Arabidopsis thaliana: one gene and its partner. The protein of the gene in region 2 interacts with the protein of the main gene of each other region in a pairwise test. Each region holds a gene or a part of one and is shown on either strand. Other genes may lie near its edges.

What was found. The genes of interacting proteins can lie anywhere in the genome.
Region 1: the proteins of SDG20 (region 2) and NAC020 interact in a two-hybrid assay, tested with the Arabidopsis thaliana proteins (one large-scale study listed by BioGRID).

What each region holds. Positions count from the first base shown.
Region 1 is NC_003070.9:20,278,927-20,282,683, reverse strand, and holds NAC020 (NAC domain containing protein 20), read left to right. Parts: upstream 1-1,731; 5' UTR 1,732-1,794; coding exon 1,795-1,951; intron 1,952-2,103; coding exon 2,104-2,372; intron 2,373-2,489; coding exon 2,490-2,969; 3' UTR 2,970-3,177; downstream 3,178-3,757.
Region 2 is NC_003074.8:937,900-941,656, reverse strand, and holds the start of SDG20 (SET domain protein 20), read right to left. Parts: upstream 1,758-3,757; 5' UTR 1,682-1,757; coding exon 1,018-1,681; exon of another isoform or gene 547-1,017; coding exon 146-546; 3' UTR 1-145. Other genes in the region: BPM4 (BTB-POZ and MATH domain 4), read left to right, coding at 1,850-2,304, 3,428-3,757. UniProt on the Arabidopsis thaliana protein: Histone methyltransferase.

The DNA of each region.
Region 1 (3,757 bases), on a different chromosome or scaffold from region 2:
CTTTGCCAATTTCGTCATGGATATATATACACGTAAAGTTTGTTTACTATTCATTTAATAATGTCACTATTGTGTTACGTCTAATTAATTAATGTTTATTTGATACTCTAGATATCAATACTATAAGCTTGAGAAAGAGTATAGGTACTTGATACATGTGAAATGGAAATATAAAAGGGTTGATAAGATAAGATGCTTAGATCTTAATTAGCTTTATTCGCTTCCCCTTAGATCGTATCAAAGGTTGCATGTCTTTAGTTAGGCTTGCATGTTAGCTTCCTCGTTGTCTTTATTAATTAATTAATCCACATTCCTTTTGCATTTGTGATACAACATTTATATATATAGTCACATTTTTTTTTATATATAGTACTCACATTAATTACTTGTTCATATAGACTTAGACTCGATTTGTGACCAAGAAAAACAAAGTGGTGAAACAATTGGGGCATGTCTTGTTGTTGTCGTTTGATAAGTTAAACTGTTAAAGCATCTTTCGCCAAAATATTTTTCAGTTGCTATCTTTTGTTTTTTGTATCTGTCACTCTCTCTCTCTCTCCCTAAGTTATTGGTGACCACATCTTAAAGCTTCCCTAAAATGTTATTGTTATTTCTTTCTCACGGAAAAGGGAGAGTTACTTACTTGAAGTTTGAATATTATACTTTATAAGAATGGAGGAGTTTTATATATGTCGCAACTTGTGGACTCCCTCAGTATTTGATCATTTCCTTACATAAAACGTTTGATTACTTCATTCTGTTAAATTCCGTTTACAATGTTCTTCGTCTACATGTGAATTATATATATTAGCAAACGAAAAAAAACCATGTAAACGAGACATCTAATATATGACATGAGTTATATATATCATACATGTGAAGAATGAAGATGTCCTTATTTTTTTAATTTATCTTTTGGATCGAGGCCGAGAGTCGAGGCAAAAGAGATTTGACCGGAAGTTAGTAAAATTGAAGGGCCGAGAGAAAGAGAGTCAAAGATTGTGTGGGAGTAATGATGTAAAAGAGCCGAACAACGTCTTTAATCCATATGTAAAAGGGACTAAAGAAGCCTCCCAACACTAAAGCCAAAGTCGACTTGGATGCCTCCTGCTTTTTTATTCTCCCATTTTTTAATCATATATATGAATTCAATTTATAAGTATTCTTATTATAAGACCATAACAACATAAAACAATATAACAAAACTGTCAAACCGAAAAAAAAAGAAAAGAAAAAGCCGAGTGTTTAGGTGTCGCCAGGTAGATTTGGTTTGAGAAGAAGAGATGGGTCCCCTAAACTGTTGAATCATAAAAAGCCTTCATTTTTGGTTTAAAGCAAACGTTATAAAAATCCCTCTATAATGATTCATGACCCACGTTAAGGTCTAACCGGAATTATAAGCATATACATTCATATATGTGAGTATTTGTGAGATGGGGCCTTCTTGCTAAAGCTTTTTCCGTCTCTCCTCCTACTAGGGTTTTCACACTTGCAGAATCTTCAAAAGCCAGAGTTAGGTTTTTATTTAAAATATATATATTGGTTTTAGAAAATATGTGTGATGAGTATCATGACAAACACTGACCAAAAAGCAACCCAAAGTAAGACAAAATATTAATCTCAGAAGATGCCAATCCCATGGCATACTTTTACACATTCCCATATCATATCTTCTTCAGAGTCTCATCTTTTTAATTATATATAGTCACCTTCATATGTCGTACGAACATCCTAATCACTTTAATTAATCTCTCTCATCTCTTTCTCTCTCGTTTTCTAACGCATACACTTTGAATGGCGCCCATGAGTTTGCCTCCAGGATTCAGGTTTCATCCCACTGATGAAGAACTGGTGGCTTACTATCTTGATAGGAAGGTCAACGGCCAAGCCATTGAGCTCGAGATCATCCCAGAAGTTGATCTTTATAAATGCGAGCCATGGGACTTGCCTGGTACGATCCAACTCTTTATATCTCTCTCTATATATGGTTCAGCTTGTTTATGTCAATCTGACGTTATAGATTACATATATTGGTCATGATGCATTCATACATATGATATTGGAGGTTTTATGAGTTATTTATTTGGATAATACGCGGAACAGAAAAGTCATTTTTGCCGGGAAACGACATGGAATGGTACTTTTACAGCACAAGGGATAAGAAGTATCCAAATGGCTCTAGGACGAACCGTGCGACCCGAGCGGGTTACTGGAAGGCCACGGGGAAAGATCGTACAGTAGAATCAAAGAAGATGAAGATGGGAATGAAGAAGACACTGGTTTATTATAGAGGAAGGGCTCCTCATGGCCTTCGTACTAATTGGGTCATGCATGAATATCGTCTCACGCACGCTCCTTCCTCCTCCTTGAAGGTAAATTATTTCCCATGCACAAACTTCTATTAACATATATATCTATATTCATTTCTGATCTAATTTTTTTTTTTTTGATAAACCATATCGACTAATATTAATGTTGATCTAAAACAGGAGTCGTATGCATTGTGCCGAGTGTTTAAGAAGAACATACAAATTCCAAAGAGAAAAGGGGAAGAAGAAGAAGCAGAAGAAGAGAGCACTAGTGTAGGAAAAGAAGAGGAAGAAGAAAAGGAGAAGAAGTGGAGAAAATGTGATGGTAATTATATTGAAGACGAGAGCTTGAAAAGAGCATCCGCGGAGACATCTTCATCAGAGCTAACTCAAGGGGTCCTTTTAGACGAAGCAAACAGCTCATCCATATTTGCTCTTCATTTCTCATCTTCTCTTCTGGACGATCATGATCATCTTTTCTCAAACTATTCTCATCAGCTTCCATATCATCCTCCTCTTCAACTCCAAGATTTCCCTCAACTTTCTATGAACGAAGCAGAGATTATGTCAATCCAACAAGACTTTCAATGCAGAGACTCTATGAACGGGACACTTGACGAAATCTTCTCTTCTTCCGCCACTTTCCCCGCTTCCCTTTGATAAATCCATATCTCATACTATCATCTAGTACTTCTTTTCTCAACTTATTTAAATATACTCGGGTACTTCATATATAGTATTTTTTTTTTTACTTGTTTTTTGCTTATGAATTAGTTTGACTGGTGAAAAAGGGTGAGGAGGTTTGTGGAATTATTTTTTCTACCACAAAAAGAAATTGCATTATTTTATTTTAATTTTTATCATTAGGTGTGTATGGTACTTAATCACTAGAGTTGGTTGGTTTTGTCATATATAGGAGGGAAAACGGAAGTAAAAATTGTGTAATCGATCGACATTACTTATTGGTTTGCATACTTGTAGACTTAAAATCTGGCATGGGCGTCATGGCAACGCAAATTTGGAAAACTTTTCGGATTATATATGTCCGACTGCGGATCAATATCTTATTTAACTATATATATGTGTTATGAATATGAAACAAAAGTTTTAAAATCTGAATGAATAAAGAAAAAATTCTCAAGAAAAGAAGCTGAAAACAAAGAAGAGAGAAAAATCGAGACAAATTTCACTACAAACAAAATAAATTCTTTATTAAAAAAGATGAGAATTACAAGACAATGATTAAAGACATCTCGAGTTTATGATACTATATATAGTTTGTGATTGATTTGGAAGATACAAACAACATTATCATGAAGAAATCTCTAGTTTATGATACTTTTAATTTAATTTAACCAAGTGATAGTGGTCTAATAGTTTTCACTTGAAGACGAATCATCGTTTTTGTCTAGGTCATACATTGATCTCTCTCAAATGCAAGATTATTT
Region 2 (3,757 bases):
TCAGTAGAGCCGCTATTAATAAGAAAGTGTAACTTCCGAATGACAATGACGGTGCTTGGTTGTGTTTGCTACAAACATAGAACTCGAATTTTTCAAATAATAAGAGTGTTGGACATTAGTATAGCGAGACAAGATGATGATGAATTCAGGTATTCTCACAAGGCAACGTTCCCAAACAGCAGGAACTACCACAAGAGCAGTTTAGCTTGTCGTCTCTGTTCTCTCCGGCCACACTTACGTCTCCATAACTGAAACTTAACTCCTCCTCTGCGATTATGTCCTTTGCTGCAAAGAAACAGAGCCGAGGAAGCAACGCTCCTGAGCTTCTCAACAGAACAGTGGAGAGATTTCCACCGTCACAAGAATGGTTGATGAATCTAGCAACGTTCCCAATTCTTGTGGCGTCGATGTTTATCCTTAAACAAGCTTGTCCTGAAGGGAGGTGTTCGCGTACGACCAAAAGAGCTGAAGCGAAGGATTGTGTTGATCTGAGTTTGTCGTAAATGTTTTGACGTCTACGTGCTTCATCTGTTGTCAATAGCTCACCTATAAGAAGAGACGACAAAATCAAGTTTATGACTTTTGCATAAACCAAGTCATTAAGGCAGATCACAAAGAAAAAACACATTCAAGAAAGAAGAAAGATTTGTCATTATCTCTAATCTCCAAATCCAGCATTGTGATACTACCTCTAAACGATTGAAACAAGAACATTTCGAAAGCTCAGATCTTTCACTGATGGAGATCACTCTTAATACCATGCTAGAATCTCATCTCAACGCATCGAGCTAAATCATATGCAGTCCAAGTGTAAAAGGCTAATAACTAATGCTAATATTCCTCAAATCATGTAATCTTAAGCTTGATTTTCAAGTTCCAATTATCAATCTTCCAAAATTAGTGACCTACTGCAATAAAACGAATCACTATACTATTAGGAAACCAAAAGTTGGTTAACGTTACCTAATGCTAATATTCCTCTAATCATGTAATATGAAATCGAAATGTAATTGTAACCTGCATATTCACAGATGAATTGGCCTTGCTTGATAAGCTGGTCAGCGTACAAGCACCAACCTTTCTTCTCATCTCTCACAATCTTCAAACTAACCGAAACCCCCTTCTGCGTAACCCGGTTCGAACAATCGGACCCGCATCCACAACCCGACCCACATTCGTTAGCTATCTCTTCCATCCCCGCGAAAGCTAAACACTTGCAGTATCCTTCCTCACACCTCTCGCATTCGCATCCTGACTCGTCCACTAAACTCACCCCAAAACGTCCGCTTTCACTCACTGAGTCAAAACAAGGTCTAGACTCCGATCCACATTCATTAGCAGCAGCTCCCCACCATTGTCGCGGCGGAGGAGGAGATGAAGCGGGGATCTGAAAAGGTGTGTAGATGAAGTACGCGTATCGTTGAGAATCGATGGAGTTGTGAAACGGGATTGAGATGTTTTCCAAGGATCGTGCAGCGTCGAGAGATCGGTGAATGGTTAGAGATTTCGAGATTAGGGATAAGGTTTTGCAGGTTTGAGCAACAACGGCGAGTTCTCGAGGGTTTAGCCATGGGAGAATCAAATTCGCACATCGGAGAAATCGATCGGCGGCCGGAATAATGTCGGAAGCTTCTCCAAGACAACGCGTCTTCGGTGGTGGTGACTCTCGCAGTCGCTGCATATTTTTTCTCAGCCAGCGATATACAAACGACGTCGTTGCGTTTAATTCTATTTATATCCTTAAATTCTATTTTAATTTCACTTCAGTAAGAATTTTTTAAAGAAAAATGGCGAGTTTTTTTGTGTTAATCATAACTATAGATTTACTACCGTCGCTTTGGTCTGTGTAATGAAATCTGTCATTTTCACAGAGGAAAAAAACTTACAAAGACAAAATCCATTGCAAAAGAGCGAGCAACAACGACGAAATTTCGAAATGCCATCGCCACCGACGACGACTTCTCTCTCGGTGACACAGACCATAAACGGATCACACAGCTTCACAATCAAAGGCTATTCTTTGGCTAAAGGAATCGGGATCGGAAAACACATCGCCAGCGATACTTTCACCGTCGGGGGTTATCAATGGGCTATCTATTTCTATCCTGATGGCAAGAATCCTGAGGATAATTCGGCTTATGTCTCCGTTTTCATTGCTTTAGCTAGCGATGGTACCGATGTTAGGGCTCTTTTTGAGCTTTCTTTGCTTGATCAGAGTGGTAAAGGGAAGCATAAGGTTCATAGCCACTTCGATCGTGCTCTTGAGAGCGGTCCTTATACTCTCAAGTATCGTGGCAGCATGTGGTTCGTTTCTTCGATTTCTTCTTTTCAATTTTTTTATTTTTCTCTTAGCCATTTTGCTAGGGTTTGGTGAAGAATTGGCTTAGGGTCTCTGATTTCTAGTGAAAGCTCATTACTTTTAGAACAAATTTTGCTCCTTTGTTGGGGTTTATATGAGGTTACGGATGTTATTAGTGGTCAAGACTCAAGAGTGTAGATTGTTGAAGGCAAAATGAGATTGAGCTCACAACATTAAAAAATATAAAAGAGATTGAGAAATTCAGAGGAAATAAAGATACATTAGCTGTGGATTTCTCAATCTGTTTGTTTCTTTTTTGTTGTGTGACCTGTATATGAAATTGAAAGATGGGTGGTGAGAGCGATAAACAATGTTCTTTATTTTTTATGCTGGAGGCTGCTTGGCTTTATTTTTGTGGTCTGCTTGAAACTGTGAGTCTGTGACGTATGGAAAGAGAGAGGGCTTTGAGTAGAAGAAGCAAGTTTCTAGAATATGAAGGTTCTATTACCTGTTTTGGACATTCTGTAACTAGTTTACCTGAACTTTTCATAAACAGAATTTGGTTCCTGCTGCTTCACCAGCATGTAGCGTTGGTTCTGTAGTTAAGGAAACTTGATTGGGAACGAGAGAGGGTTTGGACTGATGATATTTAGGATTTTCTTGAAAAGTATTGTGTTTTCACATGTTGGCATGATTTCAAAGACCTGTCATTGTGATGTTTTACTATATAGGCACCAATTCTTTCAATATGGTAGGCTAATTCTGAAGTAGGAACATTGCTTACTGTTTACCTGCATATAGCAGCACAAACCTTGCTTTTATGAAACTGTTCATGTTAGGTTTGAAACTTCTTGTATGAGTTAAGCAACAGAGTATTGTCTTTTGCTCTCAATATTCGTACATTTGGTTTTCCTGCTTTTTTAAACATCTGTTGTTAAGTCTGCTTGTATGAATTAATCAACCATTGTCTCTGGTTTCTTCTTCTTGAAGGTGATGCCTTTGGCTTTGATTTGTCTCTCTATTAGAAAGATCTCATTGCTTATTAATGCAGAGGAATAATTCCCTCTTAGAGTTTTGTACTTCCCTGTTTCGCTCAACGGATCCTTATTCAATTTTATATGCTTACAGGGGCTACAAGCGCTTTTTTCGAAGACTTATGCTGGAAACATCTGATTTTCTGAAGGATGATTGTCTGAAAATTAATTGCACCGTGGGAGTTGTGGTCTCAGAAATAGATTGCCCACGGTTACATTCTATTCATGTCCCTGCATCTGATATTGGATCTCATTTCGGGATGCTTCTAGAGAACGAGGACGGTTCAGATATAACTTTTAACGTCTCTGGTGAAAAGTTCCGTGCTCACAGGTTAGTATTGGCTGCTCGATCTCCTGTCTTTGAAAGCGAGTTCCTCGATGTTACGGGAGAAGAAGATCGTGATATCGAAGTTACTGACATGGA